Lonchura striata: one gene and its partner. The protein of the gene in region 1 interacts with the protein of each later gene in a pairwise test. Links are inferred from orthologs where the notes say so. Each region holds a gene or a part of one and is shown in the gene's direction. Other genes may lie near its edges.

Evidence for each region. The genes of interacting proteins can lie anywhere in the genome.
Region 2: the proteins of CREB3 (region 1) and TMEM234 interact in a two-hybrid assay, tested with the Homo sapiens proteins (2 studies listed by BioGRID and IntAct). The two-hybrid records come from large-scale screens. The link is inferred for Lonchura striata from reciprocal best matches to the Homo sapiens genes CREB3 and TMEM234.

What each region holds. Positions count from the first base shown.
Region 1 is NC_134642.1:39,588,271-39,596,133, forward strand, and holds the start of CREB3 (cyclic AMP-responsive element-binding protein 3), read left to right. Parts: upstream 1-4,844; 5' UTR 4,845-5,255; intron 5,256-5,937; coding exon 5,938-6,075; intron 6,076-6,157; coding exon 6,158-6,416; intron 6,417-6,633; coding exon 6,634-6,746; intron 6,747-6,959; coding exon 6,960-7,052; intron 7,053-7,559; coding exon 7,560-7,666; intron 7,667-7,863. UniProt on the Homo sapiens protein: Endoplasmic reticulum (ER)-bound sequence-specific transcription factor that directly binds DNA and activates transcription. Plays a role in the unfolded protein response (UPR), promoting cell survival versus ER stress-induced apoptotic cell death.
Region 2 is NC_134628.1:1,021,080-1,028,112, reverse strand, and holds the start of TMEM234 (transmembrane protein 234), read left to right. Parts: upstream 1-4,070; coding exon 4,071-4,083; intron 4,084-5,256; coding exon 5,257-5,396; intron 5,397-6,819; coding exon 6,820-6,886; intron 6,887-6,976; coding exon 6,977-7,033.

The sequences.
Region 1 (7,863 bases):
ATATTCTCAAGTTAAGCATAAAGCTGCTTTCCATCCCTCTGCAGGAAAAGGAGAATATGCCACTGAGAAGACAAGGTCAGAGACCATGGAGGAAGGAGTGCAGGATGTCGGACAGTAGAGAGGAACTGAGAGGAGCCAGGACATCTGCCACTAGTTCTGCACCCTCCTCTTGCCCTCACAAAGCCACCCAAAACTAGGCACTGCACCAGAGGCACCCCTTAGCACACCCTTCACAGGGGTCACTGTGCTTCCCAAGACCCCACAAGAAGATGACTGCTTATGCCTTCCCACTCTCAAACACTTAAAAAAATTCGAGCTCAGCAGGGAAGATGCTGATGACATCAAGGAAAACCTCAGAGAAAAGGGAGACACTTCAATTTCCATATTCTATGGAAAAAGTTAAGGCTCTAGCAGCTGAACTTTGCTGACAGCACTGTCTAGAGCAGGAACATCCTCTGCTGCAAAAGGACACCTCCTTAAATTGGGGTGAGATTTGTCAGCAAAGCGCGGCAACTAATCACACAAGGTTTGCAAATCTGCTGCCTGATGTGAGGGCATCAATGAAGGGCTCAGCCCCTACAGATGTTTCCCCTCCACGAACCTTGCGGAGAGAGAAAAGCTGAACTAGATGTAACAAATGAGACAGCGTGGGAGCCTGGCACTGCAAACCAGAGTAAAAAGGACAGTGAAACTCAAACTGACCCCTAGAAAGAAGAAAAACAAAAAAATCCAAACAAACCAAATCTTGATGAACACGCACCAAATTTTTGCTGGCTCATCTCCAGAGAAAGCAAACCCATTCTCAGTCAAACCTATTCTCAATCATGTTGTCATTATGCAAAGTCAGATAAGGCACCGGAGCAGCCGGATTAACACACTTCTGCATTTTATAGCAAGTTGTGCGCAACCCTTTTTGAACCACAGGCACGCTTCTGAGCCAATCCCAAAATGCTGAGGGGGAGGGGTTAACCTTGGTGGGGTCCCACCACTTCCCCAGGAGCTGCTGCGGCTTCCTCCATCTCACCCCACGCAAGGTGAGCAAAACCAAGACAGCGGTGGAGGCTCCAGGCTCTGCCTCAGAGCAGGGCCAGTGCAGGCAGGGCTGTGGGCAGACAGGACATGTGTGTCCCAAAGAACCGCGTCATTGCTGGGGACCACTGACAGTGAGTTTTTGGTCACACGATGGAATTACTGTATTTCTGTTGGATGACTTCACTGCTGAAGTAACAGTTACATTTGAAGGGTTTGCGTCTTAAAAGACAAAAAAAATTAAGCAAAATTCAACTGTGGACAGCTGGAACACTTGTGATGAGTTTCCAGAACAAGCTGCAAATCTTCAGATGCAACAGTTCTGCCATTTTTATTACGTTCTCTCTTAAGGGATACTTTGAAAGAGGTTTTGGAATGGGGTTTGGTTTTTCCTTCTTTTATGGTAATACCAAATTTCACCTGGGAAAGGCCCCACTGCAGACCACCTCTGGACTAGGAGCTGGCTGCAGGAAGCTTCATCAGCTGCAAACCATCCCAGTGCTGGGGCTTTCCACAGGCACAGCCCAGCCAGTACAGCCACTGGCACAGCTAGGAAGATACCAGGCCACCAAAACGCAATGTCTGCAACAGTGGCTTGGCCAGCATGTAAACATCTGCACACCATCAACACCAAAAATTAAGCTGGTAAGAAGCCAGACTAGGCTCTAGCTGGGTTCTCCTGTGTTCTCCGGTGCAGGACCAGTATACACAGCCACAGCAGGCAGAGGTAGGCAGAGCTCAGCCCTGCACCAATGGGAAGACTGAGCCAGCAGCCCCAGCTGGTTTAGTGTCACACGCTGCTGAGACCGTTCAACCCAGTTCCTCTTTCCCAGCTGCATGTCCACGTCAGATGGGAGGACAGTTTCTTCCAGCTGAGGCTGAGCTTGCTCCTGGGGAGCATGAGTGGCTGTCAAGGCCAGACACTGCACCCCCATGACCACTCCGCTGTTAGCCATGGCTAGGACAGGCGCATCCTCTCACTCCTTCAGGGAGAGCAGCCCTGTTCTGCATGGGAAATGGGCAGGGGCCAAACAGCTGGGCTGGAGGATCGCAGCCGCAGCCTGCCTGCCTGCTCACATGCACTGAGCTGAAGCAGCTCCAGCTATTGTCTGCCAATGTTTCACACACATCTCACATCCTGTCTGCTCCTGCTGGGCATCGCTTGACCTCCAAAGGAATGGAGCACAAATCATGGCACCTCTAGACTGCCCATGATGAAGGCAGGCATGGTGGGACCCCAGCTGCAGCCTCTCCTGCATCCTTAGCAAGCTGGCCCTCTAGCACAGGACTCCAAGAGCAGGAGTTGAGTTGCAGTGGATGCTGTCATGACCTCTGGAAAGCACTAAGTGCCCTGATCCAAGCACCCATGCTTCCCACAACAAGCAACTTGCCCAGCACTGTGCTGCTGGACAGGCAGAAAGGTGAAAGAAAGAAGAGAGCATGGCTGCATTTTTGGGTCATTTGCTGGTCAGCAGCCAGCAAAGCTCAGTTCTGAAAAGAAGGGCACCCCACAGGCCTCTTTTCATTTTCCTCAGCCTTCCCACTCCCCCTTCCCTAAATCTAATAGGATATGTCACTTTGGGGAGCATCAAATTCCTGCCACTGCCATTCAGCAAGGAAACTGATGCTTGGGTGGTACTTCCCATGCACCATCACAGATTCACTCAGCACTTGGGCGGTTTCACCCTATGATCCAGGGAAAGGCAGGTGGTCTGGAGCTTTTATTAGGCAGCTCACAGGTTTTGCAAAACTAAAGATCCCAAAAATATGCGCCCTTCCCTTCTCAGCAGCAAGGCACAGAGAGAGAAGGGAGTAAACAATTATCGCTACCAAATATGGGTCTAACAGGCAGCGATGAAGACACGGCAAAAGCATGTAGACATCCTGCCGGCAGATTCAAAGGGATGGGGAGCTTGCAGGGGCTCGGGCAGGATCCGGCAGGGAACAGGCAGAAGATGGGGCAGCGTTTCTCCCTGCTTGGTTAGTTGTCTCAGCCGGGATATGGTGGGGACCCAAGCCTTCCCCGATTAGGGCCAGTCCCACCCTGCATGGGAACCACCCCAGCGCCCCATCCTGGGGCCTATAGCCAGCTGTGTGTCCTAGTGAGAACTGTTCGGGTGACGTCCCTGGCTTCGGTGTGGTCACGGGAAGCCCTGGTGTCCCCACCCAAAACCACGCAGCAGGACACGGACACCCTTGCCACGCGCTTTTCCCCACGTCCCCGGCAGGGTGGGCGGGATGCCCCGGGAAAAGCCGCGCCTGGCCTACGCGGACTGTTGGCCACGGCCAGGCTTGTCCAGCTCGGTCCCCAGAGACCCCCGAGGTGGGGATGCTGGCCCGGGCCTCGCCACGGTGGACTCCAGGCCAGAGCCTGCTGAAGCAGGGCAAGTACAAGGCCGGGATAACGTGGCCGGGGATAACGTGGCCGCGCCAGCCCATGTTACCCCGGAGCCTCCGGCGGGTGTCGGTGCTCCGGCGGCGCCGGTGCCAGGGGCGATCTGGGCATGCCCCAAAGTCTGAGCGAACCCCGGAAGCCCTCGGGTCACCGCAGCCCCACGGACAAACCCCGGTTGGAGCAGGGAAACCCCGGTAACCGGAAAGCTGCTTCCTCCCTACCTCCCCGCCACGTACCGGGGGGGTGCAGGGCAGGGTCCCCAGGACATCCGTTTCCGGCAGCCCCCCGAGACTCAGGGCCCTACCGGTCCGCAGGACCCCACTCCGCAGCCCCCAGCCCCCGGTTACCGGGACACCGAGTGTCCTCCGTCCCCGTACCTTTGCGCGGGCAGGAGCAGCGCGGCGGCCCCGCGTCGCTGAGGGGAGCTGAGCGGCCGGCACCGCCCGCTTCCCGCCCCCCCCACCCCGCCACGCGCATGCGCCAGAACGCGGCGCCGCGCTGCACGGTGCCTCGGCGCTGCGCTCCATCCGGACACCGCGCCACGGGCAATCCGCTCCCACGGACAGCGCTCTGTACCCGCACGACTCGGCCCGACGCCCCGGGGCTGGTCACGGTTCCGCGCCCGCGCAGCGTGGCCGTGCTCCACCTGCTGCTCACATCGCACTCCCGGGCGCCCGCCCGCCCCGGGACACCCCCGGGGCTCGGCATGACCCCGGACCCACCGCCCTCCCTTCAACCCGTCTCCCCCATTCCCTCCGCTCCCCTCTTTTCCCGCCCCGCCCCGCGCTCCCGCCGCCCGCGCGCGCTCCCGCCGGCCACGCGCCCCCCTCCTCCTAGCCAATAGGCGAGCGGTGCGTCAGCGCGGGAGGAGCCGGGGCGGCGCGCGCGGGGCCCGCCGGGACACTGGGTGGCGTCACCGCGGGGCGTTGGCAGCGGCGAGGCGGAGGTGAGGGGCGGCTGGGCGCGGGCTCGACCGGGGGTCGGGGCTCCGCTGCTCGGAGGTCCCGGCGGTCCGGGCAGCCGGGTCCGGCCCGCAGCCGGGGCTGAGACGGGCTGCTTGGTTCTCCTCGGGTGGATGTGCCCGCCCCTGCGCTCCGCTCGCCTTTCTGCCGCACCTGCTCCTCCTGTTCCCGTCCTGCCCGTGCTGCCTGCCCGGCGCACGCTCCCTGGGGGAAACCGTCTGTGGAAGCCATGGGCCCTGACATTGCCCGGATTTGCCCAGCTCCTCTTCCTCTTGTTGCTGAACTTTCTGCTGACAGCTCTCCCCTTAGTCAGCTGGCTCAGCAGTCCTGGCTGGGGACTGCGCTGGCCCTCTGGTTTTGGGAGGGGTTTCAGGTGGTTTTGGTGGTATTCTATTTTTTCTGGGTTTTTTTTTTTTTTTCAGACCGTGACACTTGACAGCTAGATGTGAAAGCTTAGCAGTGCTGATGGAGAGGTGCCATGGATGCCTGTGCTCTGACAGCCTGAGTGGTGCCTTGGCTCAGGCATCGCCCACAAGCCGGCCGGGCTGATCCCGCCGAGAGCCATGCGAGGCCGCATCTCCTCAGGGACCGAGGCTCCTGGGCCATGCCTTGTCAGGACATAACAGCAGCAGCCCGAGCTGGGACCAGGCCAAGCTAAAGCTGCCACAGCCACGCAGGTGCACAAGCCCCAGGGCAGTGTTTGGCTGCAGGTCCCTCACTGCCCTCCCCGTACCTGTGGCCGCCTCCAGCCGCTGAGCTCTGCTGCTCTCACGCCGCTGGGCCCTGACGTCCCTGGCAGCAGGGACAGCTCTCCAGGTCACTCCTCAGGGCAGAGAGATTCTTTACCAGTGTCTGATCTCTACAGTAAGGTAAGGAGCATTTTACTTTCAGCCTAAAGGTATACTGTGTGCTAGTGACCTTTATATATATCCATCTATTTATTTGTTTCATCCCCTTACTTATTACGAGTGTGTTAAACAGTACTGTGTTTGACAGCTGTCTGAATTGCTAAGTCATCATATAGGTCTGTCAAATCACTTATTAATTACCTTTCAATGATCACTTAATCACCATTTGATTGCCATTTAATTTTTGCTCAGTCATCGATTACTTAGAATTTGATCATGATTTAATCATTAACAGAATCCCTTTGGTTAAAACCTCAGCAAAGACTGTTCTTAATTTTCCTGGCACAGGAAGCTCTCGCTGCATACCAAGGGGTATGGCACCTTCAGGTTTCTGTGGAACAGCAGAATCTTGCCTGCTCTCCACACCATTAAGTCTGGGATTGTTTCATTTTTCCTGTCCTTTCTGCAGCTTTTATGCTCTGGGTGGAGCATGGCTCCTGTGGCTGGGTCCAAATAACCTTGTATTGTCACCATTGGTGCTATAATGGCAGAAGGAGATGTTACCTGGCTGGAGAAGTACTTGTGAACTGGCCATTCCTGCTGTTGACATTGCATGGGGATACTTCATAGGGTCTGAGGGACACCTTAAAGCAAGGCTGGTGTCTCCTGTTGTGTCTGTGCTCACTTTGGGTGTCCTGCTCAGATGTCATGCCCAGAGGAACTGGATGCCCTGGCAGATGTGGATCTGCTTGACTTTCTTCTGAAGGAGGATGCTCCCTGCCCTGAAATCCCAGGGGAGCAGAATGGTCTGCTGGAAGACTGGGGCCTGCCAATGCCTGAGGTGAGTTCTTTGTAAGGAATTGCTGCTGAGCTGAGGTTTAGGAGGTTTGTCTCCCTGCTGAGTAAAAGCTATTCCTCTGCAGCTCCTGGACAAGGAGATGGATGACTTCATCAGCTCACTGCTGAGCCCTTTAGAAGATGAACCAGACAGGCTCAGTTACTTGCCTGCCAACAATGACAGCAGCATTTCTGAGGATCAGCTTCTGTCCCATTGCCTCAATAGCAATTTTGCGAGCCGAGACATTGTGCACGTTGATCATAACTACTCCCTTCATCAAGAGTGGCCTACACTGGAAAGTGTGAGGTCTGACATGGCAGAAGGAGATGTTACCATTGAGCTAGGTGAGTGATGTTACGGACTCTTTGTGCCCTGGCTGCAGGCAGAAAAGAGAAAAGTAGTCCCATACTGGTTTGTTTTGGGGGTGTCAGGCAAAGATGGAGAGAGCCAAGATTAAAGGCTTTCTGCTGTTATAAAATTGCTATTTCATGCCACTCAAAGCTGGCTGGTCAGGTGCTGCCTCAGTGAGGCCCAGCATTTGACTCATCTTTCCTTCCCCAGGGGCATGGGTAGGTTTGGAAAGTACAAGTGAGGCACTGGAACAGAGCACCAGTTCCCCCGTTGCTGTTGCTGTGGAAGATGAACCCCAGCTTGTGCCTGGAGCCATTGTACAGGTACTGACTCCCATGCCTGTGGACCCCAGCCTTTGCTTCTCACATTTCTCCTTCTCTTCTGACTTGGCTCCTGTGAGGGGTATCTCTGAGGGAAAGCATGACATTACTTTGGAAGAGCTGATTCCAGTTCTGTGTGTTTGCTATGTGCCCTTGCTGGCGGATGGACTCCCTGTAGTATGCATTCTCAGTAGGCTTATTTTTGCTGTTTTCTAGTCTGACTTCCCAGAGCTGGTCCTGACAGAGGAGGAGAAGCAGCTCCTGGAGAAAGAAGGTGTTACATTACCAACCTGTCTGCCACTGACCAAAGTGAGTCCTCACTAGAACCATGCAGACCACTCTTAATGTATCAGGTATCGTAGGGGTTTGAAACTGCAGGACAGTGCCTTGATGAGAATATGTTGTCCAGATGCTGCATTCCAGGCAGTGTTCATCTGGGCTCAGTGTCCTTTTCCTTCTTTCGAGTCCAGGGCATTGTCCATGTGCACAGCAGCTTCTGGCTGCTGTCAGTCTCCAGACTTGTGGCTGTTTGCAGGAGGCAATTACACCACGAGTGCCTGCAGCTATTTTTTCCTGCTTGCCTAGTGGCTTGTGGTCTGTGTGCTTTTCATTTTCCTTAGGTACGCCTTACTTTTGCTGAGTCACGGAAGCTGCTGGCTGCACCAGCAAGGCCAGGGTTTGCCTTGCAGTTTATTCACTGGTGTACGAAGGACAGAGGACACAAGCACTAGGGCTGAGGATTGATATGTGAGCGCAGTCTGAGAGGGTGGGATTGCCAACACCCTGGGATTGCTGTTAATGAGGTGAACCTTGCAGGCTGAGGAGCGAGTTCTGAGGAAAGTGCGTCGTAAGATTCGGAACAAGCAGGCAGCTCAGGATAGTCGTCGCCGGAGGAAGATCTATGTGGATGGCCTAGAAAACAGGTATGGTCACACAGGAGTGTCACCAATACTGAGGGGACCCGTATGTTCTTTTAAGGGATCCTTGGCAGAATGATGATGGCCCTTAATTGTCATTTCAATCAGAACTTCATTTTCCTATCATGTTATGATTAATATAGCAGAGGATTTGTGATTACAGTGGCACAGTTTTTCTACAAGCAGAATCAATGTAGTACACT
Region 2 (7,033 bases), on another chromosome or scaffold:
CCCCCCAGGAATGCTGCCCCAGGCCCTGACCTTGGCACTGAACTGGTTGAGCTCCCCGTTCTCGTGGCCAGCAATGATGAACTCCCCGAGCGGGCCCCACACGGCGCTGGTGATTTTGGAGTCGCTGCAGGGAATCTTCATGTAGGGCTCGTTGTTCTCTGTGGGGAGGAGCCACAGCCACCCTCAGGGGCTGCGCCCACCCTTTGTCCCCTTAGGTCCCCTGCTCGGCTCGGATTTGGGCTTTTCCAGCATTTTAAGGGGGGATTTTTGGGGATTTGGGCTTTTCCAGCATTTCAAGGGGGGATTCCTTGGGGATTTGGGCTTTTCCAGCATTTCAAGGAGGGATTCCTTGGTGATTTGTGCCTTTCCAGCATTTCAAGGGGGGATTTTTGGGGATTTGGGCTTTTCCAGCATTTCAAGAATGGATTCCTTGGGTGATTTGGGCTTTTCCATCATTTCAAGGGGGGATTCCTTGGGGATTTGTGCCTTTCCAGCATTTTAAGCATGGATTCTTCGGGGATTTGTGCCTTTCCAGCATTTCAAGGGGGGGATTCCTTGGGGATTTGGGCTTTTCCAGCATTTTAAGCATGGATTCTTTGGTGATTTGGCCTTTTCCAGCATTTCAAGGAGGGATTCTTTGGTGATTTGTGCCTTTCCAGCATTTCAAGGGGGGATTTGGGCTTTTCCAGCATTTCAAGAATGGATTCCTTGGGTGATTTGGGCTTTTCCAGCATTTCAAGGGGGGATTCCTTGGGGATTTGTGCCTTTCCAGCATTTTAAGCATGGATTCTTTGGGGATTTGTGCCTTTCCAGCATTTCAAGGGGGGGATTTTTGGTGATTCGGGCTTTTCCAGCATTTCAAGCCTGGATTCCTTGGTTCTTTTAATTTGTGGAGCTCAGGGGCAGCATTCTGCTGTTCCCAAAGGAATCCCACAGGGAAATAGGGAAGGAATTGTGTCCTTTGCTGACGTGATCACCCCCAAACCACTCCCAGCCACGCAGCAAAGAGAATTTTTTTAGTGAAGCATCTCCTCTGCTCCATCCCTGGAAGCGCTGGAGCAATTTGGGACGGGGGAAGGAACCCCTGCCCATGGGAAGGGGGTGGGATTGAACCCCAAAAAGCAGAGTGGGATCACTGAGGGGGATTCCCTGGCCCCTCACCGATCTGGCTGGGGTCCCGGAGGTCGAAGAAGCTGACGAAGCACTGGTAGCCCATCTGCTTGTCCGTGGAGAACATGATGATGTTCCCCCCAAAGTCGAAGCCGCACGTCCTGACGGCCGAGCTGGTCTTCACCAGGGCCAGCTGCTTCCCTGGGGGAGCACAAGGGAATGGGAGGGAGGATTTGGGAACTCATTCCCTCGTTCCAAACCAGCTGGGAGGGCAGGGAGTGGGACCTGGAATGCTCTGGGTGGGAGTTCAGGGATGGATTCAGGTCCACATCTCTGTGTCACTTCCAGCCTTGCTCATGGGAAACTCAGATTTTAACAGGGAAGAGGAATTTTCAAGGAGATGGGAAGTGATTCCCTCATTAAAAACACCTTGGGAGAACATGGAATAAATCCTGGATGGCTTTGGAAGGGAATTTAGGGATGGATTCAGTTCCACATCTCTGTGCTGTGTCAATCCCAGCCTCGTTCATGGGAGAGTTAGATTTTAAGAGGAGGGGAAGAGGAATTTTCAGGGAGCTTGGAAATTATTCCCTCATTCAAAACATCCTGGGAGATCCTGGAATAGAATCCTGGAATGCTCTGGAAGTGAATTTAGGGATGGATTCAGTTCCACATCTCTGTGCTGTGTCAATCCCAGCCTTGCTCAGGGGAGGCTCAGATTTTAAAAGGGAAAAGGAAGAGGAATTTTCAAGGAGATGGGAAATTATTCCCTCATTAAAAACACTATGGAATATCATGGAATAGAATCCTGGAGTGCTTTAGGTGGGAAGGCAATTTAGGAATGGATTCAGTTTCACATCCCTGCTCTATGCCACTTCCAGCCTCGCATTTTAACAGGGAAGAGGAATTTTCAGGGAGCTGGGAAGTGATTGCCTCACTAAAAACAACATGGAACAGGACCCTGGGATGCTGTGGGTGGGAATTCAGGCATGGATTCAGCTCCACATCCCCGTGCTGTGCCAACCCCAGCCCCAGCAGAGCTCAGGGACAGCAGGAGGAGCTGCAGATCCCTCAGGGAGCCATTCCCAGCTCCCCATGGAATGCTTTGAGTTGGAATTCACCAAAATCCCCCCCAGCCCTGGGCAGGGCCACCTCCCACCCACCCCAGGTGGCTCCAGGTGGCCTGGGACACTTCCAGGGCTGAGGCCAAACCCAGGGAATTCCCTGAGAGGGAAGAATTCCTTCCAACACCTCCCCAGCTCCAGGGGATCCATTCCCGTGTCCTGCCCCCCAGGGGTGTCCCCAGGGGGATTTTGGGGTGGCCTCACCTGTCTCACAGTCCCAGAGGCGGCAGCTGTTGTCTGCAGAGCCCGTCAGAACGTGCCTGGTGTCCCCTGGGCCACCGCTGAGGGAAAATCACCCCAAATTCCACTGCCCGGCCACTCGCTGGATGTTTCTGCACCCAAAAATTGGATTTTTTGGGGGGTTTCTTTTGGGAAAACCTAGTCCAGGAAAGGCAGCACAGAACCCAAGTGTCCCCACTGCAAAATCCCATGGTTTTCCCATGAATTGAAAAGAAAAGAATCAGTTTCTTACATTTTTCCACACTTTTATCTCTGCTGCCCGTGGGAAAATCTCCCCAAATATCCAGGGAAGCAGCAAAAGGTACAATAAATCCAAATATGCATTGGGATGTTTATTATTTATTCCATATGGAAATCTATTATCTATTTCAAATGGAAATCTATTTTTTATTCCCAAAGGAAATCTATTATTTATTTCAAATAGAAATCTATTATTTTTTCCATATGGAAATCTATTACTTATTCCATATGGAAACATATAATTTATTCCATATGGAAATTTATTTTTTATTCCCAATTGAAACCTATTTTTTATTCCCAATGGAAACCTATTACCTATTCCATATGGAAATCTATTATTTATTCCATATGAAAACAAAGTATTTATTCCATATGGAAACATATTATTTATCCCATATGGAAACATATTATTTATTCCAAACAGAAATCTATTTTTTATTCCCAATGGAAAACTATTATTTATTCCAAATGGAAATCTATCATTTATTCCCAATGGAAATCTATTATTTATTTCCAAATGGAAACCTATTTTTTATTCCATATGGAAACATATTATTTATTCCGTATGGGAATCTATGATTTATTCCAAATCTGTGATTTATTCCCAATGGAAAAACACCCAAAGGATGGGAAAAGAAGAGGCAGAAGAAGAGTGAGCTGCTCCTCTTTGAGAGGAAAATGAGGAGGAATCGCCGGGAATGATTCAGCCACTAAAATATGGAATTAAACCGGTTTTTTTGGGAGGATCAAAGGATACAATCGGCATCCACACACCACACAGCTCCCGTGTGCCCGTTGTAAGTCCCCAACCTCTCTCCATTCACCGAATACCAGACATTGACGATCTGCGAGGAGACGGCAAAAAAAAAATAAATTAATAAATCAATTATTAAAATTAACGATAATTACCGGGGACGCCGAGCACTCACGGGATCCTTGGCCACGGTGAACAGCAGGTCTCCCTCGCGGTTGTATTTGATCTGAGTGATGGAGCGCTCATGGCCTTGCAGCAGGATGGGTTTCTGTAATTAATGATGGAATAATCAATGAGCGGCGCGAGGGAAATGGGGGTGAGGAGGAAAGGAGCGAGCGCGGCCCCCGGTCCGCGGCTCCTGGGACGCGGGGGGGCGGCTTTGCCGCCCCCCCACGCCCAGGAGCCGCGGACCGGGGGCTGGGAGTTGTTAAATCAGCGGTGGCGACTAAAAATCGCGAGAAACGAGCCCGCCGCCACCCCGGTCTCACCATGGCTGCCGCGCTGAGGCGTGAGGGGGAGCGGCACTTCCGGGGAGATGGCGGAAATACGTCACGGCAACTGAGCGACTTCCGGGAGGAAGCCGGAAGTGCCGCGGCGTTGCCATGGCGACCGTGGGTGAGTGGCGGCGATGGCGGCGGGGAGGGTTTGTTTGGGGAAGGGGGGAAAGGTGGCTGTGTGAGCTGTTCAGGAGCGCACGTAATCACGGGATGTGCTTTTCTACAGGTGTTTTTATCGGAGATCTCTGGGAATCAGGGGTGCAGACCCGAATCTGAGCGTGTTTTGTATTCTGTCGTTATATAACTTGTATATTCATTATTCAGTTTATATCGTTGTATTGTATACATTGGCTTTATTCAAGCATGAGTTTCTCGTGGTCTTTCTCAAGGCCCTGACCGCAGTTTATCATGATTATTCTTACGATTAAACAGTAATTATATTTAATCACTTAACAATCATCACATCTAACAATTATATCATTTATCATGTACTAGCTAGATGCAGTTCTAGCAAGCACAAGGCCTACACTTTCCCAGGGTATTTTCCCAGGGCCTACAAAGCTTAATTTTCCTTCTAACCCTAAGAGGAAAGCAGGGATTTATTCAAAGCCTTGGCAGGATACAGCTTGGGCAGCATGAGAGCCTGGCCTTGGCTAGACCCAAGGTGGACAGTGCATCACAAGTTTTCACATTTTTAGGAGTTTGGTCCATTTAAATATTGGGGATAATTGCCCAATTCCAGCTCCTGCTGTCCCCCCAGGCCAGGCTCTGACCCTGTCCCTGTCCCCATTGTCCTCAGGCCAGTCCCTGACCCTGTCCCTGTCCCCCAGGCTAGTCTCTGTCCCTGTCCCTGTCCCTGTCCCTGTCCCTGTCCCTGTCCCCATTGTCCCCCAGGCCAGGCTCTGACCCTGTCCCTGTCCCCCAGGCCAGGCTCTGACCCTGTCCCTGTCCCTGTCCCTGTCCCTGTCCCCATTGTCCCCCAGGCCAGGCTCTGACACTGTCCCTGTCCCCCAGGCCAGTCCTTGACCCTGTCCCTGTCCCCCAGGCCAGTCTCTGTCCCTGTCCCTGTCCCCATTGTCCCCCAGGCCAGTCCCTGACCCTGTCCCTGTCCCCCAGGCCAGGCTCTGACCCTGTCCCCATTGTCCCCCAGGCCAGGCTCTGACCCTGTCCCCATTGTCCCCCAGGCCAGTCCCTGACCCTGTCCCCATTGTCCCCCAGGCCAGGCTCTGACCCTGTCCCTGTCCCCCAGGCCAGTCCCTGTCCCTGTCCCTGACCCTGTCCCTGTCCCCAGGGCAGGCTGTGTCCCTGGCGCTGGTGGCCGCGCTCTGGGGCACCTCGGGCCCGTGGCTGCGGGCGGGGGCGCAGGAGCGGCGGGAGCGGAGCCCGCGGGGGCTGCTGGAGGAGCTGCGGCTGCTCGGCCGGAGCCGCGGGGTGAGAGCCGCTCCTTCCCTTCCCTTCCCTTCCCTTCCCTTCCCTTCCCTTCCCTTCCCTTCCCTTCCCTTCCCTTCCCTTCCCTTCCCTTCCCTTCCCTTCCCTTCCCTTCCCTTCCCTTCCCTTCCCTTCCCTTCCCTTCCCTTCCCTGGCCCCACCCCCTCCTCATCCTCATCCCCACACCCTCCTCCTCCTCACACCCTCCTCCTCCTCGGGCTCAATCCCCCCCATGCCAGGCGCTGTGCCAGGCCGGTTCTTTCTCCCAGGGTTTCCATGGAGGAGCACAGGGATCAATTCCCGGTTCTGCTCCTCGCCGTTCCCACCTGGAACGCGCCTGGAGAATTCTTTGGGTGGATTTTGGGGAGGATGCTTCGAGCCCGGTGGCCAAGCCCACCCAGCTGTGTTCGAACTCCAGAGAGGGGCACGAGTTGGGAGTTAGATGTGGGAGCTAGAAAAAGTAGGTTTGTAGTTTTAAAATCTCCTTTAAATAGTATATTAATGTATCATAATAAAGTTATAATATAGTTATTAGATATAATAGTATAGTATGTAATAGTACCTATAGTTATTATATAGAATATAATTACATATTTCATATAAATTTTTATATTATATATAAAATATACTATACTAGAATATACTATACTATAACATATAATAATATTATATATAACATAATATATTATTATACATAATTATATATATTTGTTTATATATTATATATAGTATAACATAATATAAAAACAATCTTATATATTATATACAATTACTATATATAATATACTAATATAATATAATATAATATAATATAATATAATATAATATAATATAATATAATATAATATAATATAATATAATATAATATAATATAATATATATTGTTATTATATATAATTTTATATATGTATATATTATATATAGTATAATATCATATAAACAATAATATTATATATTATATACAGTTATATATAATTTCATTTTCTAATATATATTTATACATATAATGTAATAGAAATAATATTATAAATATATTTTCATGTATTTATAATATAATGGAATTAATATATATAATATAAAAAATATAATTAATACAACTAATATAATAGAATTAATATATATAATATTATATAATAAATAGAATAGAATAGAATAGAATAGAATAGAATAGCATAAATATAATTTAATAAATATAATAAATATTATATAATTAATATAACAATTATATGTACTAAGCTAAAGAACTCATTCAGGCTCCTGCAGTCTGGCCTCTCCCTTCCCTCCCCGCGGGTTCCCCTCGTGCCCGGGACCCCAGGCCCGTGCCAGGCCCGTGCCAGGCCCGTGCCAGGCCCGTGCCAGGCCCGGCAGTGCCGCCCCTGCGCCCCCGGGGTGCCAGGGTGGGACCGTGCCCCTCCGTGTCCTGCAGTGCCTGCTGCCCTTCCTCCTCAACCAGGCCGGATCCCTCCTCTTCTACCTCACCTTGGCCTCCACAGGTCAGCTCCTCTGCTTCTTTGGGGGTTTTGTGCTTCCCTTGGAATAATCCGAATTAAACTGAATTTCTCCATTCGGAATTCACGTTTCAGACCTGACCCTGGCAGTGCCACTCTGCAACTCCCTGGCTTTGATTGTGACCCTGGTGA